3 linked regions of the Lepisosteus oculatus genome follow. The protein of the gene in region 2 purifies or fractionates together with the protein of the main gene of each other region. This does not show direct contact. Links are inferred from orthologs where the notes say so. Each region holds a gene or a part of one and is shown on either strand. Other genes may lie near its edges. The genes, in order: growth arrest and DNA damage-inducible protein GADD45 beta, map3k4 and gadd45ab.

Region 1 (10,429 bases), on a different chromosome or scaffold from region 2:
GTTGTCATGGTCGGGCAGGGAACCCATAAATGGATATTTTTAGACTTAGACTTATAGGAATTTAAAAGGGGCTCTGTTTTGAGAGGAAAAAAATCCAGCAGCTTTTCAAATTTCTGCCGTATGTTTTGAAGGAGGTGCAGAAATTATGCAGCCCAAAATCACGCTGCATTCAGAATTGACCAAATATCTGGCTTGCAAGTCTGTGAAAATAATAATCAGACAGACCGGTTGATCTAAACAAGTAAAATATTGTGATATTGCATGGGCCCATCTCTGAATAAATGCATAACCGTTGATACTGCTGCAGGCCCAGAAGGTACAAAGTCTGCAGTCCTTGTCCTGGAAAGCGGAGGTGCTACAGGCGTCTCGTGTTGCCTGAGATGATCAATGATTACGGATCTGGAAAGCAGTTAACTCCTCCTAATGAAGCCACAGGTTGATCCAATCAAGCGCACTCGGCGCTTGGCTGGAAAGAAACTGGGAAAGACCGGATCTCCGGGACCAGGCCTGCAGACTCCTGGTCGACACACGGCTCTCGTCCTGTGAGGCGAAGCCACAGCTAACGTGCCGGAGCTCCACTCCTGCCATAGCGGCCCACCTTCCACGGCGGCTAAATTTAACACACACTCCGCCCCGGTCGAGAAGCATGGAGGAAATGGGATTTATAGAGCTGCAGTTGTTATCTTTCACAGACGCTGCCTAGCTGGGAGTCTGTGGCTTCCTGTCAGGGGACAGTCTCCAGATAATCGCAGCTTTTGCAGTCGTGTATTTAACAGCACACTGAGGATCCCAGTGAACGTGTAGCCGGTGCTGCTAACAGCCTGCTGGCTTGTCCGGAGCCCAGACAGCCTGCCAAATCAAACAGCAGCCCTGCGTCACTGGCTCAGCCCTCCCCTGCAAGGTGGAGAGTCGAAAATGCTTTGTCTTGAAGGAAATGACGCTACTGAGAACCAAGGACATTCCTGGCTACTTGTTTTACTGCTGTGACTGGGTAGTGCACGTTCCTGCTGAGCAGTCATGGGCTCCCTGCGGATGTACAGCCTAGACCGAAAATCTGCCAAGCAGCCCAGAATCACAGATCACTCTTTCCAAGCTGGCATTGAAGTGCCTTGAGCCTGCATGCTTTTTCAGTCTCCTGAACATATTCAGCCAATTTCACTTTGAACTCGGAAGCTTGAGTTTAACCAGATCCACAGTAGCAGCAGCTCATGTGGCTAAGCTCTCCAAATCCCTTTTTTCTCTCCCTGGAAGGGCTGTAGGTCCCAGCGAGATTCCAATCTTCCAAAAAAGATCCTTAAACTCGTGTAACCTTGGCTTTGGATGAAGGCTGCTGTATTCTGCAAGCAGAACTGCACACATCATGGAGGAGAAGGTTTATAGCTATGTTGAAGTGGTGGGACAGCTGAGATAACAAGCAGGCAGATATTCAAGGGACTCTACAAGGTCAGAGATTATTGAAGCATCTTCTGCGTGGACCCTCAGAGTTGCAAAGCAAGATGCATTCAACACAAGCAGAGAAAGCTCTTATCCCGAGCCCCAAAGACATTCATATCCCACATTCTGCAGCCCCTGCTCTGTCCTTGAGGAAAGCACCTGATATCTGAATTCTGAAAAGGGTATTGTATCGGAAACATTTCCTTTTTAAAATGAAATGTGCATACAAAGCAATAGTTCACCCTCCTCCCCCAGAACACACAAACATCCCTTTTGGGAAAAAAAGGCCCCCATTGTCCTTTCATTTCATAATTGTGGAACCTGCAAGTCTTTTGAAAAAGAAAATTTGCAACAGGATTAGAAATGCAACTTTGTGAGCGAGGTGCCCTTTTTGTACCCTGGGAACTATTCCAAACTGGAGCTCTGCTTCTGTAAGTGAGATCCAGCCTCACTTCAATGAGTTAGTGAATCTTTATTTTGTAGGCCAGAACAGCTCCTGAAGCATTAGGCTGTTCTGCAATAAGAGGATGAGCTTGAATTATAACACAAAGGGATAATAAATGTATGCTTATTGCACACTGCTACGAGTGCAATAGTTTGAAACACTGTTGGAGTTTACTGTGCAATGTTGAACCCCAAAACCCACCAATGGGGGTGCACCCCCACCCATTCTCCCCAGAAGAGCCACATCAGCATGAGAGCCAATAGAAAGAGACAAGAACTTCAATTTCCAATCCAAATAATTTATTTAAAAACAAAACAAGTGAAAACTGGCATTCGAAAACACGTTCATAAATAGAAAAATGAATATATTATTTCATCTCGACACTTCAATACATTCCAGACCCAGCTTGCACTGCTCATGTGAATGTCCCTCAACACCCACATCGCTGCGAAACCAGCGGGAGTGCTGGTGTGGGTTCTGACATGAGCTTTGAAAGTCACTTGCAGTCCGTGTACTGGGAAGCGGCTGAACCCGCTCTGCTCGCACACTCCCACAGGTTTCTTGTTTGCCGTCTCCTGCCGGTTTGCATGTTAGTCAGAGCGCCGTTCCTCTCCACCGTGTGTGTCCGGGGGATTTTTTGGGTTTGTGTCACGTCTCCCCTACTGCAACAGGCAAGGCAATCGTCACGACAGTCTAACCCCCCTCCCCTCCCGCCGCCGCCACCCCCTCGGCGCTGTGAAACTGGCAGGGTTGCCCGTCGCACCACGGCGCTGCTCCGCCGCCCTGCCCGCCGGCCCGCCGGGTTCCCCCTCGGCGTCCCCCGCCAGGGCTGTTCCGCTCTGCGGCGAGACCGCGGCCTCCGGGCCCGGCCCTGTCCCGTCCACTCTTTCCCAGCTCCTTTCCAACTGCTCGTTGCAAGCCGAGGGCCGTGCGGTTGTGTGTGTGTTGTTGAATACACCCTAACATTTTTTTAGTTATTTATTTCCTTCCTTCCCCCGAGAATGTCGCTGTTGTCCTCCGCTTCGGCTGGGGCGCCGGCGCCCCTCAGCGCTCCTGCAGCGCCAGGAAGGGGACCCACTGGTTCTGGCAGCGGCTCTCCTCGCAGTAGCTGCCGACGGCCTTGAGCGCCTGGCTCTTCCCGGAGTCGGTGTGCGGATTCTGGGAGGGGAGAAGGCGGATCATTAGCACGCTGGCCTGTATTCCCGAAACTGAAAGCACGGGGCCATGTGACGCGCGATACTGCCGAGCTGCCGGCTCGTCTCACGGGCGGCTCCGAGCAACCCCGGACCTCCCACCCCGTTTTGCATGCCCCCGAATTCGCTAAGAAATGCCGATTCTGGACCACGGGTGCCAGCTCTGAATGTTGCACCCGGACTGAAGAGACACATGCCCAGCATGCGAATGAGCACCGCGAATGAGCACCTCCTGCGTCTCAGCCACGACTGCTGGTCTGCTACCCCTCCCGCACCCCGGGCACAGCGCTGTAGGACACTTACAGTGACCAGGAGGCAGTGCAGGTCCCGCGGCTCGTTGGCGTTGCAGTCCGCGCCCGCCTCGCCCAGCACCTGCGCCAGCCTCTGCACGCCCGACACCCGCAGGATGTTGATGTCGTTGTCGCAGCAGAAGGCTTGGATCAGCGTGAAGTGGATCTGCAGGGCGATGTCGTCCTCGTCCTCTTCGTCCGTGGCCAGGATGCAGAGCACGACGCTGTCGGGGTCGCTGCGGGCGGAGGAGATACAGCGTTACTACACGGGCACCGGGCTCTGCAAACCGCCCCGCTCGCTAAGTTTCAGTTTGCACTCCTCTGCAACCTCCCTAACGCACAATACGGTGCAATAATACAAGACGTGGAAGCACAGACACCTCGACTCTTCATCACACGTACCCGGCCGATGAGATGAACGGATACTTACATGTTCATTAGCTTTGCAGACTCGTAGACCCCCACCGTGAGGCTGTCCTGTCTCTGAGCCGTCACCAGCAGCTCTTCCAAAGCTTGCGCCACGGTTTCCATCCTGCAAGAGAGAACAGGGAGCCGAGGTTAGGACTTGCTAAGCGCGATCCCAGCTGTTCAGAGCTCGCAGGAGCCGATGTGCAGCCCTACACAGTCAAAGAGAGACCCGGCTACAAGGTGCAGTCGCAAAGCACAGCGCTCAGGTGAGTGAAACTCAAAACTTCTTTAGAGCGTTTACTTACTTTTGGTCAGCGATACTGCATCCAACGACTTCTTCCAGAGTCATGTTGAAATATAAATTGTTGTAATCCACAATGTCCAGATAAACTCCAAAGTTAAAATCCCGTGTAACAAGGTACTCGCTGGCTGAGTAATCCAAACGTTGCAGCTCAGAGTCGTTGTAACCGAGTCCGATCGCCTGAGTTACAATAAACCGGTTTGTATATCCAAGTCCGCTCGCTTAGTTTCTGGGATATTCTCGGCGGCAGACGACTATATATTGTCTTTTCATGTGGGCGAGGCCGGGTCTGCAGCCCTTTGCTCTGATTGGCCAGAGGATTTCAAGAGCGAGCTCAGCCTTTGCAACCATTGGGCGGCCCGTACGAACGTATCGCTCTGAGCCCACGTGGGGCGCGATAGCCTCTCTCTCCCCCCCCCCCCTCAAAGAAATTCACCCGTGTTTGTTTGAATTTCGAATCCTCTGGAATTCCCGGACTGTTTCCTTACGCCGTTTTTCACTCGGGAACAAAAGTGAAAATAGTAGGAAAATAATTGCAGGAGCTTCGGTAAATAAAAGCACATCTGAAATGTCGGCTCACTGCAAGCTCTGTCGACAGCGAGGACCTGTTCGCTTGCATGAAACTTTTGAAAGGTGTTTGCAAAGCAATACAGTGATACTTTTCGGGGATTTGCGTGCTTCTGTACTGGCCCAGTGTCTCTTCTCTAGCAAGGGGACTGCAACACCAGACCCCACTCGGCTTATCTTATGATCGCGTCTTTTTTGGAAGCACCTGACTTTCCTCGTGTTAGGAGGGGGACTTTGCGCCTCATGCAGAACCGAGGACGCGTTGTGCAACTGACAGGGCAGCGTGACAGGATAAAACAGCCTCATCTGAGAATGTCATATGATTAACTTGTCGCGATCCGACTTCATGTATTATTCTAGATGTATCGGGGTGTTTTTTTTTTTTAACCTGCAGCATCCTCCAACGTTTAGTTTCCAGAAAGCAAGACCGGATTTCTAGATGTGTTACCTGGAATTTTCATAACCTGCGCGTCGTCGCGTCCGCATTCCTGTGAGGTTAATTGCGATTTCATGGACGAGGCGCAGAGACACGCACTACATTGTTGACGCTGTCTTCACTGGGCTTCAGTGTTCGCATACCTAATTTCTGTTGGTTTTTGTGGTGGCCCAACTTCCATAACAAAGTTATGAAAAATCACGATCGGTTTTTAATTTCAGTACAACAAAACAGGTTTAGTAAGCACACTAGGAAGAGTTGCAATGCTAGATGCAGACTGGTGTTCTCTTTGTGCTTTGCGATTGCTGTGTGCCGTGCACAGTAACTGTTGATAAGCAACTGTCCAAATCACACTGCAGCAACCCCGAGTTTTCAAATGAAAACCGGCTCCACGTTAACTTTGTTATCGGGGGGTCCCCCTAGTGGTCACAGGCAGTCACTGCAGGTACATGTTGTAACGCCTCGCAACTTTCATGAACTTTCCAGCATGAGGTAATTCCAGGGTAATAGCCCTCACAATTTATTTGCCCTTCTTCTGTTAAGTAACGTTTTGTGTTTTTTCGTGAGGCTTGCACACAAAAAAATAATTTTACTATTATTGGAAAGAAAAAAAATAATCTTTAAAATAAATTGACTGCAACAGTTTGCTGTGTGAAAGAGCAATTTGCAATGAAATGCAGTCAAAATGGTTGCTACGAATGATAACAGTAACAGATTAACGTGGCTAACATGCCCTGAGTTAACAACTGCTCCCCAGCACGGCAACTTGCTAACAGTCTGAACCGGATTGCGTGACGCTGCACTTTCGCGGCGGGGCTCAGTATCTCGGCCCGCGATCGCCCTCTGGTGGAAAGTGGGCGCATTTAGCCAACTGATAATTGAAGCCGTGCTGCCACCTGCCTGTCACTGTTTCCAGGCGAAAATGAGAAAATGCGTCTTTCTGAAGTGTCTCATAGGGTCAGTTGTATGTGTTTAATTGACTGTCGCATGAGTATGTTTTAAATGTAAGCGGTCATTTATTTTTCTCGTGATCTCTCATTTTTATTTCAATTCAAAAGACGCGGGTTTTAATTCATGGGTGAATTTCGCTGAAGGACTCAGAAGAAATAACCTTAACTGATGTCGAGATACTTCTGGAGCGCATGTGTTTGGAATAGCATAAGACGGTTGCCACGTACAGGGTAGGATGAGACGTAGCAAGGCATTCAATCGAGGTCAGCGGCTTCCTAAATCCATTTCTCAATGATGGCAAACTTGACGACTGAAGTGTCCACGATTTAAAGCGAGGCGCCTCTCGCCCTGGCTAGAGATCGTATTGGTAAAATCACATATTTCAATTGCGAGGCGCCACCGGAGCTGTTAACAGCCGGTTACAGCAAGCGCCCGACACATGTAAATGAAGAAACGGAAAGAAGTTCAAAGTTTTTCGTTCGGAAATCCAGGTTGATGTGCCAAGCGCCTGAGCGAGGTGTGAAACGGAGGAAGGCGCTTTCTTTTGTCAGAGTCGGAATTGCGAGGCTGCAGGTCGGTGCTTCAGGACAGAGTGTTCTGCTCGTGTTAGCAGGGCAGTGTTCACACACACACACACCTCAAACCGAGCCCGGGGCGAGCTTGGTCTTGCTCTTAACGGTGTTTGGACACAGTTGTTGTTGTTCTGTGTGTGTGTGAGAGGGAAGGACGTGTTTTTCATTCTCTGCGGAGACACGGACTGAAGGGGGCTGTGTGTGGGGGATGAGTCAGTCCGATCATGTAGTCATTAACCAGACAGAACGAGGAGTCGATCACGTCTGTTAGTCACCATCGCCATCAGCGCTGCCGACACCGTGGAGCTACTGACCCCCGAAACAAACAACACCGGCTCGGTGTCATGATGGAGTTAGCGCTCCTTAACTGTCCTGACTATAACCGGACGCGCCGACACACAAAAAACGACATTCTGCAGATTTATATCAAATATATATATATCTTCTGCAGATATATCCGTAAAGATGACCGTCACTCTACCGTAAGACGTCTACTTTAATCTGAGGAAGAGGTGAAAACAGGGTCGCAAATCATAGAATTTTATATATTGCTGTTGTAGTCGCATCAAAACGCTTTTAAATCTCGATTTTAACCAGAGGAGGGCATAGACAACAAATGATCCCATTTCCTGTACTCGTCTACCTGGGAATGTGGTCGGGGAGCGGGAGAGAAGTGTCCCGCGGAGGTGCGGTACCGAGTCAGACACTGGGGGTTCTCTCCGTGTCCCTCGAGACTGGCACAACTGCTTTAAATATTTCAGCACTTTGGTCTGACAAAATGGTATCGGTGCACGAAGGCTGCAGCTGGCCGGTACTCGCACGACAGTGCTCATACGAAGCCAACACGATCGCTTACTGTCCTGATCCCCTGACAGTGAATCTGCGCTCCTTCTGTCTGGGCGTCGATTTCACGCTACCGACATCAGTGCAACAGCGCTAGGTAATCCCCGATACCCACGGCTGCTCACCGGCTTCACTGGGACAAGGTAGTCTTTCACCTTGAAATTCACAAACACACGAGTGGTGGAAACAGTCAGGAGTGGGCGAGTTTCGGGTCTCCTTGTGCAAGTTGGTGCCTATTCTCACCCACGCACGGAAGAGAACGTACAAGAATAGCTCAATTGTACTGCCTCCCCCCACCAGAAGTAATTTGTAAAGGAACATGGAATTGCCCTGAACAAAAGAAACTATTTTAGCATTCGATGTAAAATGCAGTGTGCCATAGACATTTTTGTTAGGGCCCCTGTGATTCATAAGTCGCGGTCTGAAAGCTCTCTTTATAGATGTGAGTAAACGGCACAGCAAGTTGTGCTAAAAGCCCGACCTTCGACCTCTCCGATCACAGCTCAAACTTGCGCTCTCCCTGGAAATCATGGGATCGGGGAAAACTGCAAGCAGGTCTGCTTTCAGCCGTGGAGCTGATCTGGAGTTCCTCGAACACTTTGAAAGTGTGCTCTGAAGTTCTAAATGGCTAAAAACATTTTCTAAGAAAATAAACACTGATAAAACACTGATGATATTCACTGGCGTGGAGATAAAGTTCCGACCAACTAAGCAACTAGTAGGATCCACGGAGTAGCTAGAAGGTGCCAGTTGGAGGGACCAGGTGGATTTGAACCTGTGACCCCCTGTTTATAGTGCCCTTCCCGAACTCCTGGTGGTTAGAAAATGAGAGCTTCTGGAGAAAAAAACAAACCTGGACCAGGAAATAGCAGGAAATACCCTAAAAGGTGACTGGAATCAGATGAGCTGGGCTGCTTTTCCGATTCCTCAATGTGAGGTTTGTTCACCTTGCCTGTGTCCTGGGCACAGGAGGAGTGTTCGTCGGGGAGCTGCAGTGAGCCAAGCGAGGGGAACAGAAGGAGCTGGCCTGTCAGCACACAGCTGCAGCTCACACAAGGTACCACAAGCCTTCTGACAGAAGACATTTCCTTTCTCCTTTTGCCCCAACGAAAGACACGAGGGCGAAAGACACTGGGCCTTGGTGCTTACCTGGAAGTCTGCTGCCTGTTGGTCCCGGAGTTTCACCCAGTGGTTTGTCAGAAGACCTCCCAGGGGGCAGCTTGTGTGCTCTGCCCAGGCAGCTCGCTTCTGATACCCACAGCGCTTCCTGAAAGGTACTTTAGCCCCTGCTTCCTATCCCAGAAACCCTGCTGAGGGATTACCAGCTATGTCTTTCATTGGCTGAATCAGAAACCGGCCAATCGGGTTGTATCTGGCCTTTGCCCCTTGTCTGAGTGAGGCCCTGGTCTCCAATCCACACACGTGGCTCCGGTGCCCTCTTGCTGTGCGGACCTGCTCGTTTACATGAGACAGGCTGGCTCAGGGACACTGTGATGGGCCATTAGACCTTAATCTCAGGATTGGCTGGCACCTGCTGCAAAGGTCGTTATCACCCATCCCTCAACTCTCGGCCTCTGGTGTGGAGTGTTCAAATGGGACCGAGCCTTAAGGCGCTCCTTTTGTCCTTTCGGATCGCTTCTCTGCACGTTTCACTGATAGCTCAGGGGACAAGTGCACAGCAGAACACACCTCAGTTTCTAAAAGCGCTCTGCTTTGCACATGCATGCGAGCAATTTAGATAAAAAACAACTCTTGAACAAGTGATTCAGGATGGCATTGACAGAGGTTTCGGCGGTAAGCTCACACGCCCAGTTCTCTTGAGCTTGGATCTGAGAGATGTAAAGATGCCTGCCCAGCATCAGTCAGAGACTTAGTCCACAGCCAAATTTGGACGAAAACATCAGATTAATGCTAATTGGGATAATAATAATGGCAAGTCTCTGCCCTTAGATTATTTTTTTTGTGTTGAATCCTAAAATGGGGAGAGCATTATCATCCTATTTAGCTCACCAGCCAAATCTTTCCTGTAGACCCTCTTCAATGATAAGGTCTGGAACCGCCACCAGGTGCAATATTTCCCAAAACGCACCATCGCGCCACTCCTACATCGGTGGTGACAAGAGAACCGTGTTTATTTCTCTCTTTTTCAGTAGCTGTTCCTGTGCCGCCAGCCTCGTCTCCGTGGCCATGACCAGCCTGGGGCCGCACTGGGTGATGCTGTCTTCCTACACGCCTGCAGGGTGCCGTCAGGCGCGGGGCTAATCCGGTACTCAACGCGCAAAAAATAGACGGTCTAATCTTAGCCGTCGAACAGAAATAGCTTTTTTGCCGAGTCAACAAGCCCAAGATAGAATGTCGCCAAAAAAAAAAAACACACAGGCACACACAAAACTGGAAAACTGACTTTCTTTTTGTACTGCCCTCCTCGCTTGGCTCCCTGGCAGCCCCGGGCTGCTGGTTTCTGGGCCAATGCCTGCATGTCCAGAGCGCACTGCCGGCTCTCCGGCACGGACACTCCGAGACCGAGGAAGCGAGCGTCTGTTTTCGCTCACAGGCTGGTCTCTTACGAATGAAACACCACCTGACCGTTGCCGACTTGCCGACTCCGTTCGGCGGTTGACCGGGCAGGACGGCACGATAACGCCAAGAGCGCCAGCCTCGGGCACCCAAAAAAAGCATCAGTACCTCTAAGAACAGGGGATAATATTCAAATAATGCTTTACTGATGATGGCGTTTGGGACACTATACTGTAAAAAAAAGGCTCCGTCCTTCGGAAGAGACGTAAAACCGAGGTCCTGACTTTCTGTGGTCATCAAGAATCCCCATTACCTGTAAAGCGCTTTGAGTGGAGTGTCCAGTGTAATGCTTTACATTAAAATCGGATCAGTAATTAGCTACTACCAGTATTTATAATACTGGTACGTAAAATAATACGGTGAGCTGTTAGAGTGATCAACACGTCATTATTACCCCTCTCGAACTTCGGTT
Region 2 (10,765 bases):
CGAACCTAAGTAACCCCAGGCCAGCTTCACCTCTGAGCCAGTAAAAACAATGACCCCAATAAAGCCAACTGATCTTAACCTGTTGTAGCGGCAACACGGACAGCGGTGCAAGTAAAATGCTCCACTAAAACAGAGCAAGAAAAAAGAAAAACAGCAGCATTCCTAATTGGAACACTGACAACAAATTCACTCTTATCAGGATGTGACACACAGAACAAGCAAAGGGGAAATCTTCATTAATATAGCAAGCTTTGACTTTGCACTTTGCTCAATTAAAGTAAATTAAAACAGTGTTGTTGACTTAAAGATAAGGTACAAAATGCAAATGTATTACACATGGAACTGGTTAATAACAGATGCCCAGAAAAGATAGGAAGGTAACACTTGGACGCAATGCATTTCATACTGAACCAATTGGCTGGTATAAACAAAATGCCTGCTATTTCTGACTGTGGGTTCAGAAATATGCCTGCTTACTCAGAGAGTGAGAGATGCCGAGTGCATCATTTCTTAGAACAGCATCGGGTTGGGGGGTTTCAGACACATGGAACTGGAAAGCAATTTAAACCAGAAGCCTGAGTGGGAAAAGAGAAAAACAAGGTTTGTGTTGAAGGTTATCAAAGTCGGAAATTCAGCTATAAAGCAATTTTAGGACTAACAATTGCTATGACAAAGCTATGGTTTTCTAGCAATGGAAAGGTGAATGTGGAGTTCTTACAAATATGTTGAATTAATCACTGTGATTCTCAAAAAACCATGACTAGCTACTCAGAATCAAACACTGTACTATTCCATAGCAAACACCTGTCTAACTGCTAATTAGGAGCGGAATAGAGCAGAAGCTCTTGGGTTTAGGTTTACAGCAAAAAGAGGCTAGAAATCAAATTTTGCAGGAAACATCTCTTGAATTTAAAACAGTCAGTAACTGCTGTATCAGCAGATGTTTATAATTGTAATCTTTGTAGCCAGATTGGCAAAAATGTAAGTTGCAGAGCTGCTGTGCACTAGAATATATAATGCATGCTTTGGTATGTTTAATTCTGGAATAATTAATTAATTTCCTGGCTTTAAAGCTTAAAAACATTTCTATTAATGGTTACCTAACATTTACACAACTAAGAAGAAAACCAAAATAGACTTAAAAATAGAAATCCAAAATTTAAGTCAAGGATGAGGGTCATTAAAGTATTAACTGCTGCAACATAACATCTATTCATCCATTTTCCAACTGCTTAATTTCAGTCTTTAATAGGGTCGTAACAATACAAGACAAAGTGCACTTTAAACACCACCCATCCTTCATACCTTAGTACTATGAAAATCAAGTGTGGGCTGAAGGTCATATGCAAAAATAACATTCACATTAAACGCAGTTGAAGAAATGGCACCAGCCACAGCAATACACAGCATAAGCCATTAGGGAGTAACCCCAGTCCTGGATCTACAACAGTGATATCCTCACTCCTGGTTTTGAGAGCCAATGTCCTGCATATTTAATAGGAAAGTCAAACTCATGTACACTCAACACAATTAAAAAACAATTGAGTCATAATGAAATCAAGGAAGTCATTAAGTGGAGTGGAAGTAATTTGGTTCTGGTCTCGGCCTCTAGGTCTACGGAAGAGGTTTCTAACCCTAGTCCTGTAGCGTGTTTGCAGGTTTGTAGCTCTTAATAATCTAAGCCAGTTTATTCATGTTTTAAATGGACCAGTTCAGAAGCTGGTTGTTTATAAATGGCTATCTGGACAATCTGCAAAGAAAGGTGCCGTTAAGAACCGCACTTGGACCCTGCAGGGCACCCATGCCTAGAGTGCAAGACCAGAGCGCTCTGGACTATAGGGACGTCTGAAACTAATAGTGCAATAGCTCAAAGCTCAGTACAACTAGCGCCTTGCAGGCAATAACAATTTCTTTTTACAAATGCAAAAACGAAAAACTTCAATTTCCTCAATTTCCCTTTGGGATCAATAAAGTCTTATCTATCTATCTAAAAGAAAAGGTGAAACGTCCTCAGGCAAAGGGTTCAAATAAGTGTGGCAAAAGGCATTCCTCAAACCTATAGACACTTTCATCCGTTAGAAAGGGTTACCGTCATATCACTACACAAAACTGCAGGTCCTTGTTGGTGTGGTAAAACACTAGTGTAACGCCTAAAAGGCATGCCGTGATGTTTAGAAAAGATTACGATTAACAATGCCAAGAAATTAACAACACAAACAAGCTGCCCCTGCTGCCTTTCATATGTAAAGCCTGGCTGGTGATCTAGACAAAGCCCACGAGTTCTACCCATAAAATGGATTTTCTGGCTTCTTTCCACAGATGTGGAGTACAATTCCACAGGACCCTCTACCCACCACCATCCCCTCTAACACCCTCAGTCCTCGACCCAGTGCGACAGGGTGTTGGTCCTCCTGACCTTGAATGATACAAACAATGCAATGAATCAGACAGCATCCCTCCACACTGCATCACCAACCAAGGACTGCAAGCTGACACAACCCTGTTTTTACTCTCTTTCCACTTACAATTTGCTCCCCCTGTGACAAGCAGCTGAGTATTATAACTCTTTTACAGAAAATACATTTGTTTCTATTACTTTACAGCACAATTATTGTTTTGTTTTTCACTCCTACTGAAGTTTAAACAATAAGAAAAATGCACAGAAAGTAATGACCTACAATTTAAAAATATTAATAATAATAATAATAATAATAAGCGTCATGGAAAAAGAAACTTTTGGTACTCGAAGACTTGAATTTCCTGTTTCTTGGTGCAGAATTCTGAAGTATTCCAAATGATCATACCCTCTACAATTCAGGCACCAAATACATTTTTGTAATTAAAAAAGGTGATGTTAATTTCTGATCAACCCTTGTATAGAAACTATGGGGAAATATGGGATTCACACTCAACATATTGGTGTACATTAATAAGTTTAACATCCAAAAAATAAAAATCTGGAATCTTGACGCAAAGTAAAGGTAAAACGGACTGCAAAGTACAGGTGTATTTGTAAAACAGGAGCAAATGAATACAAGAAACTACTACATCAACATACACAAGCAAGTTCTCTCAAAGACTAATTTACAAAATATCAAAACCAAAGTCAATATGGAAACAAAGAATCAGAAGCAGAACGTGACCATTATCACACCCACAACCAAGCAGCAAGAATCAAAAATGAAAATAAAACTTTCATGCATGAATTGTAATCTAGTCCTTCCAGCAACTGGATCTGCATTTTTCCTAGTCATCTTTCTTTGACACTTGTTTCCTGGAATTACGAATCTTACAGTGAAGTAGGAAACTGGCGCACACAATTTGCAAAACAGGAAAAACACTCATTAATATGACTATTGCTTAAGCAATAGTCTCCCTGTATTGCAAACAAGAGAAGCAGGCAAAAAAGCACATTGGGAACCTGCACAATGACGTAGACGGTATGCATCCTCATAAATCAAAGAAAACAATCGCACGTTTTTTAAATGCACGCAGGGACATAAAACTGACCCCAAACTCTACAATCACATCAAATGCATTTTTTTTTTACATTTGAAAGAAAGTAACGACCGTCTTGCCCTTTTTCTAAATCCGCTTCTAAGCATCCAAAAGGACATGGACTGTCGAAAGCTAAAGGCTGCTTTAAAAACACTCGATATGCTAAATTACACACCATTACTGGATGAACGACTGTCCCCAGACAATCCTGAACATCTTGTCCGATGTACGTGCATTATTTTGATGCACTGGTATTGCTTTTTCACAAGAGCATTCATACAACTGAGCACCACAATCTGCAACAGGATTTGTAGAGAATATGCTACCTGTGCCAAGACTGTTCCCAATTGCAGATAAGTCTTAAGAAAAGATCTCCATACTGAGCGCATTCCGGTTATAGCAAAATGGAATTTGAGCAAAGCTGAACAGAGATCCAGTAAAGCAGATTGCGTTAGTCTCACATCAGTTGTCCCTCAGAGTTACTACAATAATGATACTGTACATTTTGAGCCGATAATCCTGGTTATATGCACATTTCACAGGAACCATCTCAGAAAGAAAATCTTTAAAATCACCGTTCAGTAAGGTAATGATACTCACCTACAGAATGCATTCAAATCTTCAAAGAGAAGATGAAAGTGCACCTACATTGTGTCCCCATTTTACAATGCAATCTAATTTTAAAAGTTTTCAACTGGGAATGTGCATTCGAAAATCCTGCAGACAATAAGCAAGTGTTGCAACACAAGTCCCTCCGGTGTTGTCGTGCATTCTGCCTTAGAATGAAGTAATTACCTTTTCTAGACGGTGAGCATTTTTATGATGTTACTCGATATTCTGTCTGAACCAGGAATCCCGTGCAGATATATGTAGATTTTTCTTCAAAAACTTTTCAACTTCAATACACTATACCACTTGAGGATGCAGCTGCAAGCTGATCACTTTTTGACAGGAAGGCAATTCGAAGCTGCTGCGCAAGCGCAAATCCAACAATGCCTTTGGTTTTCACTGTAAGATCACAATGTGGCAAGGGCCGGGTCCCGGCTGTGTAGTTCATTTTTTTTCAAACCACACCAGTTTCTGCGATTTGCTTACCTGCTGCGCTCGCCCGACGCTGCCGGCTCCATATTGGGGCGAGGGTGGGATTTTTCTATATGTGCATGACAGCCGCCATGGCTGGGCGAAGACTTCTGGGTTTTGCACTTTTCGCAAGAGTCACCAAATCGGCGCTAGCCCACTAATGTCTCTATCCCCCTGCAGAGCCCAGGCACCTCTCTCTGTGCTTAGCGGCCATCTTGCTAGCAATCACTGAAGGAGCTAGGCAGTTCATCTCTACGGCAACCCGTGCAGTACATCAGAGAGCCACCGTGACGACTCCTGAGCTAGTGTGATAGGCTTTAATTATACCCTGACCCAGCAATTACTACCGTGCACTAATAAACCGCAGAGAGCAGCTCATCAAGCTGCCGGTGCACAAGGCCAGGAAATACGCTTCGCATGGGAGAATACGATGTTTCTACTGTAATTTTTAATACACATTATGCATATATACATGGTACATATATTTATTGTACCAAATGTTTTCAACAACTTTAACATTAGGTTAAATTATGTATTATTCTTTTAAAGCATATATTGGCTTAAAAGAAAATGGACCAAAAAATGAATTCAATTTTCAATTGAAATTACAGTTGTTAAATGAATCATGTCAGTAAGGCCAGACCAACTCGGTCTACTTTTAATATTTTGTTCTTAAATTATTGTTTTTGTTAATATCCCCATTTTGTGATGTTTTAAACTGGGAATTGAGTAATCTTCTGTGTGTGAAGTGCTTAGATGGTAGTGGCTGAACAGCTATAGACAAATGCAAAAGATGCTAAAGTAATAAGTTGCATTTTAAAGGATTTTGATTAAACTTAAATGTAATTTGAATGTTCAAAAAGTTTTGATGGTAGTTTTTAAAGACCCTAATAATATAAAAGTTTGAAGAATCTATTAATTGCTCCTTAAGACACTTCTACATTCTCACAAAAGTAAATCCCTTCTGTGATGTTTGTACTCCTATCTATTATGAGTTCAATTAACCTAACCATAGCATTGCTTTACTCTCAAGTTAATTTTTTTCATAAAATAACCTGAAAGAGATTGCCCAGCTGTGTATTATATTGATACAACTAGACCTTAATATGGATCATTTTGCTTTGGCAAGAACACAAAAAAAATCTCAGAGAGAATGGCACAGTAACAATTTCCTCCTCATTGTGATCCTCTAAATGAATAAATGGGGCTGTGCCATTAGACAGGAAATTGAAAGCATTACCGCTGATAAGTGATATGTGCATGCATTTCTACAAGTTACACTGCCCTGCCTTCTGTGTTCATTTGATCAGTTCATTACCAAACTGAATTTCAGTGTATTCCGTATATTCTTTTTAAAAGAAACCTCCAGAACAAAACAGACCAGCGATATCCATCAGTTTTGTTTTACCATAGTAACAGTTTTTGTGCTCCAAGCGCTTTCTGTGTTTTGGTTTGCTAATCGACTGGCCTGCTGTGCAAGGAATCGAATCTCATTCTGTCTCAGATTACAGCATTATACTGAAGCTGGAAAGATAGCACATTTTCCACAAATAAATAATAAAAAATAACAGAACAAATGCTTCATTCAATGTTAAGAGACTGTAAATGAGTATTCAGTCTGAGAATGGTGACAGCTCTGTCCACAGTTTTTCATTTCCATGGGAAACCTAATATCTTGTATATGCAATGTGACAGAGAGGGTTCTTGTGGGATGACAGTGTTTCAGATTGTTTCTATATGAACATTATTCTTACATATTTAAGCATTGATCATGTAGTTTATATACTGTTCTTCAGTTTTATTCCCAAATTCTCCTCATTAACATAACATGAAGAAAAGAAGAACAGCTTAAGTAGCCCTACTGCTGTTAAGGGAAATTATTCCATTAATTAATTACTTTTATATACCACATATCACCCTAAAGGATCCCAGAACTAAATGTATGAGGGGGCCCAATTCATCCATCACGTAATTGCAGCACCCATCTACCTAATGGGCATCAATCCCCTTATGATGAGTGGGATCTTTAATGACCAAGCACACAGGATCTCATTTTTAATCTCATCCAAAAGATGTCAATGAGACATTGGTATAGATATCCTTGTCCAGATGGCAAAGTGCCTCCTATTGGACCACCAACTACACTGACAGAAGCAACTTGGTCTTCCTTGGTGGTCACCCATTGCAGTACCGACCAGAACTAACCTCACTTTGTTTCTGAGACTGAACAGGATCGGGCTAGAGAATGGTAACCCTGCTATCACACAGTTCAGTCATCACATTAAAGTAAAATCAGATGAGCATAAATTTTCATTTGCAATGACATGCTGACAAAAAGCTTAGGACAGCACCATTTTTGCAAAGGAATTGAATCAGTGTTAAAGAAGAAAATGCCAGGTAGAAAAGAGTTAACCATGAAACTGAAAACACCCTTAGATATAAAGTTGGATAGTTTCAACTCACTCTGCAGATTGTTCCAGTTGGCAACAGTAAATAGCAATGACTCGCACCTACAGTAGATTCAATCATTGCTCTTGGGAGATTAAGTCTGATAGAAAAATACATTTTAACTGTGAAATTGTATATTATTCTTGAATAACATTATGAGGAAAGGAAACCTATTTTTTCCCAGTCAAAGTTCTGTAAGATCTTTGTGGTGCAAAGAAAAATTCATCCAGTATGCATAAAGGGCCAATCAAAGAATAAAGATCACAATGATTAGTGTAATAGGAAATATTGTGAATTCTTACTGCAATATCCTACTCCTCACCTTAGCCAGACATCTGAAGTAAAACAGTTCTTTAGATACTTTAGCATTTTAGGTATTTTGCTTTTCCCATATGTTTTATTTTGTTAAAAAATAAAAAAAAACATGTTATAAATATACAGAGGATGGAGTTGGGCTAGGCTAAATTTTTAAATATTCTCTGTTTTGATACTGCTTCAGAATAACAATCTGAACCACAAGGTGTCACTTCTGCACAGTTCATGTGGGAGGAAGAATATGCGAAAGAATATGACCACAGTTGTTGACAGGCTATAGTAAATGTCATTCGCATTATTTAATGTGATATTTGTAACTTAATTATATACTGTACATACTACAATGTTTATCGATACAAAAAGGGAAGTTTGTTTCTTGAGAAACAGGAGTGATGTGAATGAGGACTGTAACCAAGACCAACAGTGTGAGACAGTGGAGAGAATAGACAGTTCCTAATGAACTGAAGCAGGTGATGCAAAATAACTTTTTGAATGTGTTTTCTTGAACAACATAAAAAGACTGATTAATTTTTAAAGTGTATAGGATTGTGCTCAATAATCCTAGTGTAGTTCTGTTACTGTATTTTACTGTTTTATTGTTGTTTATAGAAATGAGGACCATAGGTCTGTATTTGTAAATGACTTCATTTGTAAGTGTATTTTTATTTACAGAGGAGCAACATTGTAGTGAAAACCCGGACCCTGACCATCAGTACACTGTGCACTGTAGCACTTAAGCTGAATATAACCCGGTATATAAATGACTGTAAAGTAATTTGCAGTCTTTACTGGTTTTTACTGATCAAAGTTGTAAAAGACAAAATAAAGATATTTCCTGCAGCCATTTGATAAAGATACAATAAATTCATTGGGTTATTCTTTCTAAGAGTTTTGATTTTAAAAGTAAGGAGAATAAATTTGGAACAGAGCATGCACACAGAGACACAAACACCAACCTAGATATACATATACAATGCATAGTCACACCCCCATGCACACACATTCATTCTGCCTCATGCAAGCTGACAAGCCATTTATTGCATGGAGACATTGTGAGCTGACAGAAATGAGACGCCCTACACATAAATTTAATTGCTGCCATCCATACGAAAGACTATTTTTTGTAATGGGTGATAAAGCAGCACGCTGAGACACAGAACTCTGACAGCATGGAGCCTGGAGAGCAGCAGGTCTGTCAAGGACTCCCACAGGGTGACCTTTCAGCAAAGCCCTGCCTGATGCTCAGCCTCAGCAGCACAGTCTACAGGGATATAAGGAGTGAGTCACTCCCTGGGACACAGGCAGAAAATAGAGTCAGACAGTGAACATCACCTGTGAACCCGCACACCCCTTCTCAGAGTTCTTACAGCTCTGCGCTTTAAATGGAAAGTTATGGAGAGAAATCCTGTCTCCTGCAGCAAAAAGAAATTACCAAGACAAAATTAAGCTTCAAAATGTGTGTTAGCAGTGTGTGAAGGTTTGTTTAATATACTGCTGACATTAAAGAGGTGTAGAACCCTTCTACATGAAACACTCGCCTTCTGAGTTCTTCCTTTCCCCATCCCCTAGACATTGTAGTCCAAAGGTCATTTAATTTATACTGAGTAGGGAAAGAAAAAAAGGATTCCCTTGATCCCTAATCCAATTATCAGCTGCAAGGGGAAGATTGTTAAAAGTTCTGTAATGAACTGAGGGCTTGCACCACTCCACTGGGACACTAATCAGTTTCATCGTTCCTGCCTTAAGAATTTGTAATGTGTGTCTGTGAAAGAAATGGCTAACAAAAAATGGACAGTGATATACTGTGCGTTTAGTATTAGCACACTCTTGATGGCTGTATATACATACATAATATGGACAAGACAATTATTATATGAGATCACTTTATTGGCCATATACAATCTCTCAATTCTCAATTTGCTCTCCATGAGACACACAGAAAGGGAGAGAAACTTGGGGTCAGAGCGCGGGGTCAGCTATTTATACAGGACCTCTGGAGCAGTTGGGGATAAGGCCCTTGCTCAGGCCTTGCCTGTGCACTGCTGTATAAGTACTGCACGCTGACCGATTGTGCCACTAGAGCTATATATGTTCTTACATACTCAAGAATGTAACATGTAACAGATGTTTAAAAAACTCTTTTTGGGTTAAATATGCATATATAATATTAGTGGTATATATTATATTAGTGGTATGTAACAAACTCAGTGCTCCACTTCATCTTCAAAAGCATGCGTAAACAGATTAGCATAATATCTCAGAGAAGAGTCTTTTATTTTTTTCCTGCTGTCTGAGGCTGACTGATAACTTGACAGACCTTTCATGGTGTCACAGTCTGCACAATAAAATGCCAAAGTGCATTTAAAAAATTAAAATCTCAAAGTGCCCACAAACCACAACCCTGCTGTTACAGATAAATACAGTGCATTATTCAATACTTCATATAAAATTGGAGTTAGATTTGAAGAACCCCTGTATTTGTACTGTGTATGCCAGTGGCAGTGAAAAGCATTGAAACATAAAATTCTCAAATGTAGTAATAATAAATGCTGGCATTAATTCAAAATCATAAAAAACTTTCAATACACTTCCATGTGCTGTCTCTACTTCCAGAAATACATGTCTAATAGCATTCAGGTGCTATGGGTGGTGTCTTCTAGGACATGTTCACTCTTTCTCTAGCTCAGTCTATAGTTCCTACCTGCTTTAAGAAAACCACCATTGTCCCTGTTCCTAAAAAACCCAGAGTCAGTTGTCTGAATGACTACCGCCCCCATTGCACTCAACTCAGTTATCATGAAGTGCTTTAAGGGGTTGGTCAAAGCATACATCACCTCCTCACTGCCTGACACCCTAGACCCACTGCAATTTGCGTATCGCCAGAACAGGTCAACAAAGGATACTATTGCCACTGCCCTCCATACAGCCCTCTTACACCTGGATAAGAAAGGAACATATGTGAGAATGTTGTTTGTTGATTACAGCTCAGCATTCAATACCATAGTGTCTTCAAAGCTTGTCATCAAGCTCCAGGACATGGGACTGAACACCTCCCTCTGTAACTGGATAATGTACTTCTTGACGGAACAGCCACAGGTGGTGAGGGTGAGCACCAACATATCCTCTACCTTGACTCCAAACACTGGAGTTGATTGATTGATTTTTAAGAGATTCAGTACTGGGTGCTAGAGACCCACTGGAATATGCTGTATCTGTTCCCAATTGAGGAGAATTTTATATGGAGGATAGATAATAGCATATATAATGCACACAACAGAAAAACAGTGCCTCATTACCCTGAGAGATAAAGTTTGCTGTGGATGCTTAAATGTAAATGTGTATTGAGCCTGTTGAAATGGAGTCTCAAGTGCCCAATTAAATGTGAATGCATACTAGAATAGCTGTTTGTCCTGTGCTTAAATGA
Region 3 (11,593 bases), on a different chromosome or scaffold from region 2:
CCAATACACTCCTGCTGTATATGCCATGAGCTCAGTCTGTGACATATAAACTCCACAACACAACATCATAAGGACCAAGCAGTCAGGACTGGTCACAGAACAGCGCGATTATTTCTTTAGTCGTTGGTCACACGATTCTCACTGCTGATGTGAAGACTCGATATTTGCCCATTCCTTGCGTGCAAACCCGTTACGTAATGGTTTTCAAGCTTTTTTTTTTTCTTAAGACTTCTAAAACATGTTGCTGGTGAAGCTGCAAAACGAGATACTGAGAATGTTTTCTCTTCACATGATTTTATTCTGTCCTGGGGATCTCGATGGAAGACCAGCAACAACACACATGCAGTGGGTCTCCATCCTTTAATACACAGTAGCTAAATGTGTGCAGGGGAATTCTGGAAGCCCTCCAGGGGGCACTATCTTTAACCCGCAGGAGAAATCTGATCGTGAATCAACAGGCACTGCAGTCCGAGCTCTCCGCTTTCACAGCGCCGAGGAGAGCGGGGTCAGAGACTGACGAGCGAGCGAGTCAAACGTTAGTTTCGACCTTTGAACTTTTCACAAGGACAGTCGGCCCCAGACCACACAGGAGCAGGCAGGGTTGGGATGCTTATCTCTGTGGTCCTCCTGTGTTTGTCTTAACTCGCGTCCGTCCCCGGAGATGCCCGTGCGCTGCTCTGATAAAAAAAGACTATCTGTGTCCCTGCGATATGGCTTTGGTTAATGGAGGTCTGTCATTCTTGGGCTTTCATGAGAAAATCCCCTTGCGTCAGGGGGTGATGCTAGGAGACCTTCTCATGAAAAAGTCTCACGGGACTGAGACTGAGACTGTGTATACCGTAGTTTGTGATATTTGAAGAGGCTCGACAGCGTGGGAGCTGCTCGTAACAAGGCGAGCTTAATTCCACGCTGGAAACCGAAAAAGAAAAATGCAACGTTTAAGTCTGCAGAGGCTCCTTCACGCACCAGAAACGTTGTTTGTCCTTCTCTCTGTTTTTTTTCTTTAAACCTGAAATTAATCTCTTGGCAGTGTGAGACTTTCATACACGTAACGCACTCAGTCCAAAACCTGACCAACAGTAAATTGTTTTTCCTCTGCGAAAGCCGGCGTCATGCAGTTTTATTTTTTTTTTCTAATGATAACCTGCACGTCTCGTCGCGGCCAAAATACTTTTTTTTCAGTTGCTGATAACAGCGCTATAATACGCAGCAGAGGAGAGACCCGTGACTGACACGGGAGGGCTATTCGCGAACAGGGTCTCGACAGCCTTCGACCCCTGAAGCAGACGGTGCCGCTCTCTCCGGCACTGTCGGTGCTCCTGCGCCTCATTTCTCGTCCCGCCTCCGCTCCTGTGCGGGACGAGCGCTGCGCAAACTGCGCTTTTCCACATCCACGCTGGAGTGTCCGGTCTCGACTGCTTCGCCATCTGCGCCGAAGGCCGGTATAATATCGCACCGCTTTCAGCTGCGCCGCGGGCTGCAGAATGAAGCCGGTTGACAGAGCGACACCCGGAGAAGTTTCCGAATGACGGTGTCCGTGACCGGGGTCAGCGGGGCTCTTTCTCCATGGAGACCCGGCTGTGGTGCTTTTGTCCTTTGTACAGTTCGCACAAAACACACAATGGAAAAACGCGCGTGTGTGCGTGCGTGTGCGTGTGTGTGCGCTCTCAGTGCCAAATCCTGTTCTTTCCTTTCGTTTCCAGTTTATGACCTTGGGCTTTTATCAGTCAAGGTCGGGTATTTTCACACGCTGCTTTAAATAGCTCTTCCCAAAGTCGTCCCCCCCCCACACACACACCACTCCACTCCGAAATGAAGTGTTGACCAAACCTGAGAAAGAAAGCCCACGCCATCCCCAGCTGTAACATCAGATGTCTCATTATGCAAATAACCGCTGTTCTTAACAAAACAAAAAACACCTTGAAGCTTTCAGCCACTTTCAGGTGACGGGTGGGGGCAGTTTCAGGCCATCCAGAACAGCGCAGAAGGAAACAGAAGAACCAAGCGCTGCTTTTTTGGACAATTTATCTTGCACGGCCTATGATCTTACGTGCACGCACAAATGGTTTATTTTTCCCTTCATCTGCTGCATTTATCCCAAGCCGTGTCCGCCCGCAGCCGGTTCCACGGCCGGGTGGCGCTCAGGAGCAGCGCAGGCGAGGTGCCGAGCTCAAGGACACAACAGCGGTGTCTCCCCTGGGACCCGCGTCCAGGGCCGGACCCGCCGGTCCACACCGCTGCCCTACATCTTCTTAAGCTGTCATGACTGGCAAGTTCCTGTGTTGCAGCGTTATGTAACTTCATGCATAACACCCTCCCCTGCCCCACTCCGAGCCTCAGATAACCTCATCCGAACTAAAGCAGATTTTAGCGTTAGGCGCCAGATAAGCTGCTGAGCATTTGAAACTGCAGCAGTATCTTTGAAACCTTGCAAGGAAGGGAACTGGTGGCCTGGGCTTAGGTGGGGAATGAGCAGCAGCTGGGCTTGCACACCAGCAAAGCCAGTACTTGCTGTGCCAGGAGCGGAGAGAACACGCAGACTCCCCACGGACAGGCACTTCAAGCTGGAATCCACACCAGGGGCTGTGTGGCAGTAGTGCAGCCCACGTCACAAGGAAAACCTCTGTCCCGAACCCTGTGAACGGTCCCAACGCATCAAAATCCTCCCCTGCAGGCACTAGCAGAAGCAGAACTCCCCTGTCTCCTCTGCTCCAGGCAGGCAGAGAACTCGACCTGCACACGAACACGAGGTCCAAGCCATTTATTCAACAAATCTGATGTTGGTAGAAACGGCAACATAAATACAATAAAGTTAATATAATAAAAAAATAACTTAACAGCAATGAAAACAAAAGTTACCGGTCAAACGTTTCTTACTCAAAATAATTCACTGCAATGGCATTCTGCAGAAGGCATCGTCATTGCTTATCCAAAAGTAAGGGTCCGAGCGCTTCTCTTTTAAATAAGAGTAACAGAAAAACAACAACAGCAATAGTCATGAAGATAACGGTAATAATTAACTCCAGAATCTCAAAACACCCCGTGTTTCCTGCTGTAATACCTAAAATGGGGACCGGCTCGGCCCGTGGCGTCTGTCCAGTTTCAGAGTCCCGGCTGAACCACAGATCCCCTCCTGCGAGGCTGATGAGCCCCCGGACACGGCCCACTTCCTGCTGCAGAGCAGGCCGGCCCCCAGTCTGCTGAGTCACGCCGCCGGCCCACGGCCCGCTGCTCCGCCGGGCCGGCTCCGCCTCTCCCAGCCCAGCTGCAAGTTATTTTCCACCAGCGTGAGAGGTGGTGGTGGTGGTGGTGGTGTTTTTCATTTTTTTTTTGTGCCTCCTGAGTTCCTCAGCAGAGCATTCCGGCAATCCAGTGCAATTCATCGGAGAGAGGGAGAGAGAGGAAAACGAAGGGCTGGCGTCGCAGTCCGGCCCTCAGCGCTCGGGGAGATTGACGAGGGGCACCCACTGGTCCAGGCACCGGCTCTCCCTGCAGAAACCGTTCACTTTGCTCAAGGCGGGGTCTTTCCACGCCGACGAGTGTGGGTTCTAGGGGGGGGAGAGGAGGAGAAGGGGATATGAATAGGTGCGGTTTTGTTTAGCACTCTTTGAGGGCACCCCTGTGTAGAGGGCCGCAGTCCCAGAGCTCCCTTCCTCTGGGGGGCGCTGCAGGGGCCCTGAAGGGGCTGCTCTCCTCCTGGGTTCGGCCGGCTCTGTGCCACCCCTGCTGGGGCCCAGGGTTATCGCTTATTGACAGGCACCCAAACCCCCCCCCCGAGGTTCACAGGCACCAACCATCACAGCGCCGGCGGCGGAGACCAGTCAGTTAGTGCCTGTGGAGACCAGTCAGCCCCCCGCCTGCACCTCTCTGCCCCAACAGACACAGAGAGCACCAGCCGGCTCCCCTGCAGCGGCACGGGCAGGCGGGCGGGCACACTCACCGTGACCAGCACGCAGTGCAGGTCCTGGGGCTCCCCGCCCTGCTTGGCGGCCCCCAGGATCTCGGCCAGGCGCCCCATGTTGCCGACGCGCAGGATGTTGATGTCGTTCTCGCAGCAGAACGCCTGGATCAGCGTGAAGTGGATCTGCAGGGCCACGTCCTTGACGTCCTCCTCGTCCGTGGCCAGCAGACACAGCACCACGTTGTCCGGATCGCTGGACAGGAGGGCAGAACAACAACAACAACATCATCATCATCATCCTCCTCCTCCTCCTCCTCTCAGCGCGCCGCCCGGCCCCGGACCGGCCCCGGGGCTGCGGCCGGACCGGCAGCGGACACGGCGGAGGCGAAACTCACACGTTGAGCGACTTGGCCGCTTCATAGACCCCGACCGTGATGCATCCCTGCGGCAACGCGGAGTGCAGCACTTCTTCCAAGGCTTTTCCCACGGAATCCATTCTGGAAAATAACAGGGATGGGGGGGAGGGAGAGGTGAGTCAAAGGAGGAGGAGAAGCGGCGTCGGTCCCGGCCGAACTTCCCCTCGACCTTTGAACAGCTTTTCCGTTACAGACGGTGTCCGTCGACGGTCTGCGAGCTCCGCCGTGTGCAGCCCCGCACACCCCCCCCCCCCACAGGACACGACACACGGAAGCCGAGCCCACGGTTGCGGGCAGGACCGACCTGGGTGGGAACCCCGACCGGACCGGACCGGACCCGACCGGACCGGCGTGCAGCCGGGCTGTCGCGAGCGCAACCCGCCCCGCGGCGCGAGCTCCCGGCCGCACGGGTGTCCCCGAGACCGGCCGCACCGCGACCCCCGACTTGATCTACACGGGCACCCGGCTCGGCTGCACCCCCAAGACACCCGTCCGCGCTTGGCTTTCGGAAAGCAACAGGGGTGCTGCGGGCTGGAATGAATGAACCGTTGTTGTTGTTGTTGTTGTTGTTGTTTTTAAAAAATAATACACGTCCAAAACACAAGGGTAGGCTCGGGACTGAAACTACCGCCGCCGGTGCAGTCACCTTTCTGCGGCGTGATCTCCACTGAGCTCCTCAAAAGTCATGGTGCACAATCAGATCCGGGAAGGTGGGGGGGTGGTGGGGGATACAATATCCAAGGTGGAGGTAGTCTCCCGGGAATCCCGGCGCTGCTCCAAGGAGAGTAATTCCCAGACAAGGCGAGGCGTCCGGCGGCTCCCGATTCTGTGCGCGTCTGTGCAACAGGCGCTCCGTGACTGCGGACGAGCTGTGCCGCTCGCCACCTCGGCACTACATCTGCCCCGATTTGCATGCGGGAGCTGATTGGCCCGGTGCTAATGAGGGAGGAGGTGTGACCCCGCAGGGCTGGGCCGCTGCGCTCTCGCCGCCCCGGCTGGCTGGTCTGATTGGAGCTCCGTCCTACAGCAGCCACAGCCCGGTGCACAGCGCCTCAGTCCAACAACTCGTCTTTTTAAATCCGTGCGCGGACACAGAGACAGAGGCAGAGGCAGAGGCAGAGAGAGAGCATGCAGGTTTCATTTGCATGCAGGTTTCCCCCGACAGACAGGAATGAGAACCCGAGAATAAGTTTTTCTGTGTGTTAGTGGATTGGAGCCCTGCACTGTCAAGTGGGATGGCTGTGCAGCTCAGCCCCGGGGGCGGTGCGTGCGGAGACAGCCGCTTTATTTGCAGTTTAAATACGTCGAAAGAATCTGGTGAATGGCGACCCCGAGTGGCCAAACCGAGGGAGCTCAGCCCACTCGGGTGGTGATTGATTGCCTTAGCGGGGTAATGGGGTCATTTGCACAGCCAGAACCAGACGTTGGTGGGCGAATAATGTGCTTGTCGGGGTGACAGGGATTACAATGCAAATTAAATATAAGGCAGCGCAGACGGAGAGGGGGGTGTAGAGTTGAAAACCCGCGCTGAGTTAATAAGGCAGGGGGCGTCCGTTCCCACCGACGTCCTGCGCTTTCCGAGACGCCTCTGCCTGCAGTTCCGAGGCAGAAATAGAAGTTCGTGAAAAGACGCTTCCGGTCCGGTGACCCGGCAGCAGGAGGGCGGCGGGCGGCGCACCCGCGCGGGCCCCGGCAACAGGCTCCTGATTGGCCAGCCGCCCGTCCAGGCCGGCACGAGGCGGCACAGGGGATTTGAGCGCGAAAAACCAGGTACCCGCGAGACCCCGAGCGCGGGTGCGAAGGACGACGTTTCTCGGGAGTCGGATTCTTCACGGCCGCTTCACACACGTCGATATTAACGTAAAGAAAATAAAATAACCGACTTACGATAGGTACACTTATTTTCCTCCTCGCACTTTGCTGTTCGAAACTCCCCATACTCCCTGCGAAGGGCCCATGATACGGCCTCTACACCGGTATCTGAAGTAACAAAACATAAAACAGTTTGAAATTGGTTAGTCCATAATTAATTTCAAATGCGTTTAACATAATCGCTATATTCACCGATTCCTTATTTCATTCCACATGAAATAAAAGTATAAACTAATGTTATATTAATACAATGCAGCGTGCGGATAACCCAATTTTCGGTCAGTAAATCAATCAGCATGGTTGTGATAATGTTTCTGAAACTAAGGCAGCTGGCCTCTGGATTAATAGTGGTTATTTTTATTAGTCTTTGTTGTCAGACTCCATGCCTTTAAGATTAAAGGAAATTGCTGTTTTTCTATTGTGTGTGTGTGTGTGGGGAGGGTGGGGGGGAGGTTAAATTCTAACAAATAATAATTAATTTTTTTCTGCAAACAAAACAAGGGAAGGTTATTCAAAAAAGGAAGTTTCCTTACCTACGAACCTCATTAATCTGTAGAGTGTTGTATGGATAACCTTGGAGAGTTATGTGGGTCCTTTAAGGCTCCCCACAGGCTGAAAGGGATGGTTGAGAGCTGTTTACTGTATTAATTTAGCCCTGACGCCTGGCAGACTGCGAGATTCGACCGGTACGGGACTCCTCCTGCGATCAGGTCCACCGGTTACACTGACCCACACACGCTTCGGATTCTTCACGTGAAATGGAAAATGTTCCTTTTGGTTACAGAAGGCCTTGAAACAGTTCTCTATAAAGACCCGCTTGATATATTTATGTACACAGATGCTGTAAGGAGCCTGTCAGAAGCGTTGAAGACGTTAGGGTTGGATCAGGGTCACATACCTGTACAGTACATGACTCTTAATAGCTTTTAGTTTGCCCACTGAAGGTTTAAACAGGCTGTATCTCCAGTAACCCCTTCCCAGGTATTGGAAAGTAGTGTTGCTCAAATAAAGACAACATTTACTGTTCCAGGATTTATTTACTTGAAAATGTCCACATCTGACCTGCAATCCACTGGGTGCGATGCAATTTGTATCCAGCTGTGATGATATCCGATATTTACAATAAATACGTTAGTTGGTTTGGGGTTTAGGAATTAGGATGGGGACACCAAGCTCAAGAACTCAAAAAGAAGGAAAGACTGAAGGAAGTGAAGAATTACAGGGTGCAAAAACGAACCCCCAACACACACACACCAACCCAGTCAAAGGTATGACCTAGAACTGCACAGACTAACATAAAACACACCAACACCCTGAAGCTGAGTTCAGAAACAGGAAACCATGTGACCCACTAACGTCAAGCTGCTGAGCTAAACGTTGTAGCCAAACTGCAAGCTTAAAACATAAAAACACCAGTCTGTCCCCATAAACTGCAGAGCCTTGGAAAACACAACCAGGCAGCAAAACTGGCCCGGCCTTTATCCCGCCACGCTTTGAAAGTAAACAGCGCTTGCTGTTCAGACACAGAGCCGTCTCATGACTGTCCTACTGTTCGACTTGTTTCCAGTCAGTTCTTTATTGCAAGAAAAATAAAATGACACAGCTCTGTTTCACAAGTTGGCAGTTATATTGTCTTTTTTTTTTCTGGCACTCCCGGCTGAGAGGATTCAAGGCACCTCTGTAATTGTGGTTTCTGCGTTAACTGCAGCTCAAACAGAGAGGCCTTTGAGGAAACAAACACACACTCAGTGCTCCTTGCTCGCACCCTGGAATCCCTGTTTAACCCAAGACTTGCACCTGAGCCAGCTTTCATACAAGCAGTGTAAGGTTCAGTTTATCAGGATATTTTGTCCAAGAGCTATCATGTCTCCTTTTCTTATTGAATGTAAAAATTAATGTGAACATCAAAGGCATGCCCGTATGATGTTAACAGTGGTACACCAGAGTAAAAGCATAGAAAAGTCCAGTGAACCACAATGAAATCGCAGTCCATGCATGGTTATGCATTAAGAGTTATGGTATAGAACTTTAGGAAAGCATGGCCAAGGAAACATTGTCAATGTTGTCTGTCTCCGTACAGGTGATCCCCTAGTTTAGCTCCAATAATTTTTTTTTAACCATACATGTAATACAAGTCACACTTTTTGGTCTGTAATAACATGGTGCGGTTTTATATTTACAGTATTTGACTGAAAATCTTCTTTAGAGCAAACTATATTTCAGCCCATTTATACATTTATATGGGTGCAGTACCTCGCTCAGGGGTGCAACAGCAGGGTCTCCCCTGGAATTTGAACAAACATCCTTCCGGTCCAGAACCCTGCACGCCAGTGCCCTACTCCTGTCCTGTCACTGTTTGTGTGAGCACCATTTGTATGGAAATACATTTCAATAACAATTCTCCAGTTCGCTTCTTTAGCAGTTGTTGCAAGAGCTGTGTTAAGGACTCTTAATTATGAGTAGCATCTCGTTTCGCCATCGGGCCCTGGAAATTTATTTTCACTGACCTGCAACTCTTCTGCCTTCTTCTTTTATGTGAATGGCATTGAATACAGAACATATTCCTTCTGTTGCCTGAGGCGTGTGGTCGAGTTCTTCCTCAGTGAACACCTGACTGAGAAATTAATTTAATACATCAGTCATTTCCCTCCCATTGTCTAGAAGTTTCCCAAAATCATGCGGTATGTTTTTTTTTTATAGTTGTAGGGCTGAAAGAAACTTTATATATTTTAGCCTCCACTGCAGTATTCCTTTCCATCTCTCTCTGGCTTTTTACATTTTCTACCTGCATTTGAAATTTAATGTTCTCCTAATTTAACTGGATCTTTTACCTTTAATTTGCCCTTACTGGTTTGTGGAAGATTTTCAATACCGTTCTATTTGTTTTTTATTTAATCTTGGGATAGTGAAAGGAGCTTGAACACTTAATTCATCTTAATTACTAACCTAGGAAAAAAACCGAAACTAAATTAGCACATCAGACGTTTCATATTCTGGTTTTCCAAATATAGAAGAAAAACGTTTCAATGCCTACACCTGAAGAAGGCTCCACGGCCGAAACGTTGTGTTCTCTTTCTTCTTTTTTTCAGCATGGAATAAACCTATAACTTGTTCCTTTGCATAATATAATATATAAATTATTAAACACAGAGGTACATTCAAAACTTTGCCTTGCGTTATTTTATCCATCACAAACTGGTCATCGCCAGCTAGCGGGCTGATTTATTAAAGCATACCCACACAGAACCCAGCAAATTTCAAAACGCATGACATATGTGAATGATAATCGGTTTTAGAAAAAGTGTGAATCGTGCAATCCACTTTCAGATAAAATAAAGTTGACTTATGTCTTAAGTCCCTTCTCCACATGGTGGGCAGCCAGTGCCGTTTTGATTTTCGGGTACACGATGAAGTTCCCCGAGAAACCTCGGCCGGGAAAGAATGGTTCCGTCCTACGTGGCAGAGACGCTTTCGGAGAAAGTCTACGGGACATGAACGGAATGATAATTAAATTTGCCATCTAATTAATTAAAACAAAAAACCAGAAAAGAAGCTCTTCAACGTCACAAAAGAATTCAGAAAGAATTTAAAATGTGAGTACACCGACCAGGTTATAAGTTTTGTTAGCAATAACGTTTTAGTTGTTTTTTTTTTCCCAGTTCTTAAGAAGAGCGACTTTTTTTTCCCCCAAGTAGTTTTGCTGCAATCCGGTGTGATTTTTGTCAGATAACGGACAGGTGCGGTCTTGCTGAAGGTGAGGTTTTTTTTTTGAACCACTACGCCTTCTTGGCCTTATATTTGTTTCAGAGACGAGGTGCAGTTGACCTCGTATGTAATACAACATGAACTTATCTGTGTATACGCGTGGATTATGTGTTAACAGTTTTTTTTATTGCCTTTTAAGAAGGGAAGCATATTTTATTGATCCGAACGGCTTTATTGTAAACACGCAGAGATGGTAACAAGTACGGTTATGCGTTTAAAATCGTAGATCGAATTGACCCTTACGAGAAAATAAACTACAGCGCCTATTCAAATGTCCCACTTTTCGGTTATTTTCGCAAGGCGAATTGTCAAGCAAATATTCAGTCTGTCAGAACCGGCCGTGTTTATTACTATACTTTTTGTGTATTCCAGAGGACACGTTTTTTTTTTTTTTTAATATTGCAGTAGGTATTGTAAGGAAACCGCGATTGCCCTTTTCTGTGACTCGTTACTCGCTTGGTCTGATGGAAAGTTTGAGAGCAATTTGATCCTAACTTCTCTCCTCTTCACAGACAGATCATCGAAATGCGAAATCGGTTCGTTTTCGGCTGACGTCTCCAGTGTTTCAGGCTGGGGCCTTACAGGTAATGTCAAATTTAAAGACCGCGTTCCCCTGCCTATAAAACGGGGTTATTTTCTATTGTTTTCTGTTTTTTTTTTCTTTAAAGATAAAATTACACTTCTGTTTTTTTTTTCTTAAAGATAAAATTACACTTCTGTTATTTTTTAAACAAAGAAAGATTTGATGTTACTAAGTGTTTCAGGGCAAAAAAAAAAAAATCCAAGCAAAACTGTAATCCTAATGATGGAGTACAAGTGGAGTGCGAGGAGAGAATCTGCACAACAGTCCATCCACCTAAGCCTGTAGGAAAAATAATGCCTTTGAGCAAGAAAAAAAAACGTCCTAAAAATGCTCCAAAGGAATTCCATAAATACTTACACAAGATTCGAGATTGACCAAACACCAGTCGGATGACATCAATGGCGTTTGTTAGTGTGTGTACAGTATCGCAGTACATGCAGGTCACAAGAACACACTCCTGTGGAAAACACTGGGCTCAAAGCGTTCACCTTTTAGTCTACAAAGACTCAGCTGTTTATGTTGATGCATCGTTTTCTTGTTCTAGACCATGTGGGGAAAACACCCATTCCTACAGACAGAATGTTAGGATCTGTAAAAAAAAAAGTGCAGATATTAAATCATACGTACATTATGGATACATTCTACGGTGCTCGGTCCAGGGTATCAGGCTCCACCAGCATGGCTGAGCGGCTTGTTCCACACTCCCACCGCCCTCTGTGTAAGGAAGCACCCTGCTTTTGGTTTTAAATGTTTCGAAATGCACTGCCATGTGGTGCAGATGCACTTCCACGTTGAAGCTACTGAAGAGCTCCCCATGGATGACAAGCCCTTCAGGAATTGCCTGTGATGCAGGGGTTGTTAAACTAAGGGCTCTATTGATTAATTCCTGAAGGCAGGGAGCAGGCCGCTGTTTCAACGGCCTGCACTTTGCCCGTGCTTGCAGAGGCCCAGCCCTGAGAGGGGTCAGGCTTGCGGCTGTGCTGTGGTTCGGAGAGGGCTGATGTGGAAGGTGTACTTTGACAGCAGGGCGAAAGACTGTTCACTCTCCTTCAGGCC

Evidence for each region.
Region 1: the proteins of map3k4 (region 2) and growth arrest and DNA damage-inducible protein GADD45 beta purify together in Homo sapiens (co-immunoprecipitation; 3 studies listed by BioGRID and IntAct, counting the BioPlex papers as one, with this or other methods). This does not show direct contact. The link is inferred for Lepisosteus oculatus from reciprocal best matches to the Homo sapiens genes MAP3K4 and GADD45B.
Region 3: the proteins of map3k4 (region 2) and gadd45ab purify together in Homo sapiens (co-immunoprecipitation; 3 studies listed by BioGRID and IntAct, with this or other methods). This does not show direct contact. The link is inferred for Lepisosteus oculatus from reciprocal best matches to the Homo sapiens genes MAP3K4 and GADD45A.

Annotation. Positions count from the first base shown.
Region 1 is NC_090724.1:1,677,035-1,687,463, forward strand, and holds growth arrest and DNA damage-inducible protein GADD45 beta, read right to left. Parts: upstream 4,290-10,429; 5' UTR 4,120-4,289; coding exon 4,076-4,119; intron 3,895-4,075; coding exon 3,793-3,894; intron 3,599-3,792; coding exon 3,376-3,598; intron 3,038-3,375; coding exon 2,924-3,037; 3' UTR 2,162-2,923; downstream 1-2,161.
Region 2 is NC_090712.1:11,611,647-11,622,411, reverse strand, and holds the start of map3k4 (mitogen-activated protein kinase kinase kinase 4), read right to left. Parts: upstream 4,813-10,765; 5' UTR 4,626-4,812; coding exon 4,594-4,625; intron 4,430-4,593; exon of another isoform or gene 4,294-4,429; intron 1-4,293. UniProt on the Homo sapiens protein: Component of a protein kinase signal transduction cascade. Activates the CSBP2, P38 and JNK MAPK pathways, but not the ERK pathway. Specifically phosphorylates and activates MAP2K4 and MAP2K6.
Region 3 is NC_090704.1:2,049,989-2,061,581, forward strand, and holds gadd45ab (growth arrest and DNA damage-inducible protein GADD45 alpha), read right to left. Parts: upstream 5,231-11,593; 5' UTR 5,005-5,230; coding exon 4,964-5,004; intron 4,687-4,963; exon of another isoform or gene 4,622-4,686; intron 4,399-4,621; coding exon 4,297-4,398; intron 4,155-4,296; coding exon 3,941-4,154; intron 3,549-3,940; coding exon 3,435-3,548; 3' UTR 2,747-3,434; downstream 1-2,746. UniProt on the Homo sapiens protein: In T-cells, functions as a regulator of p38 MAPKs by inhibiting p88 phosphorylation and activity.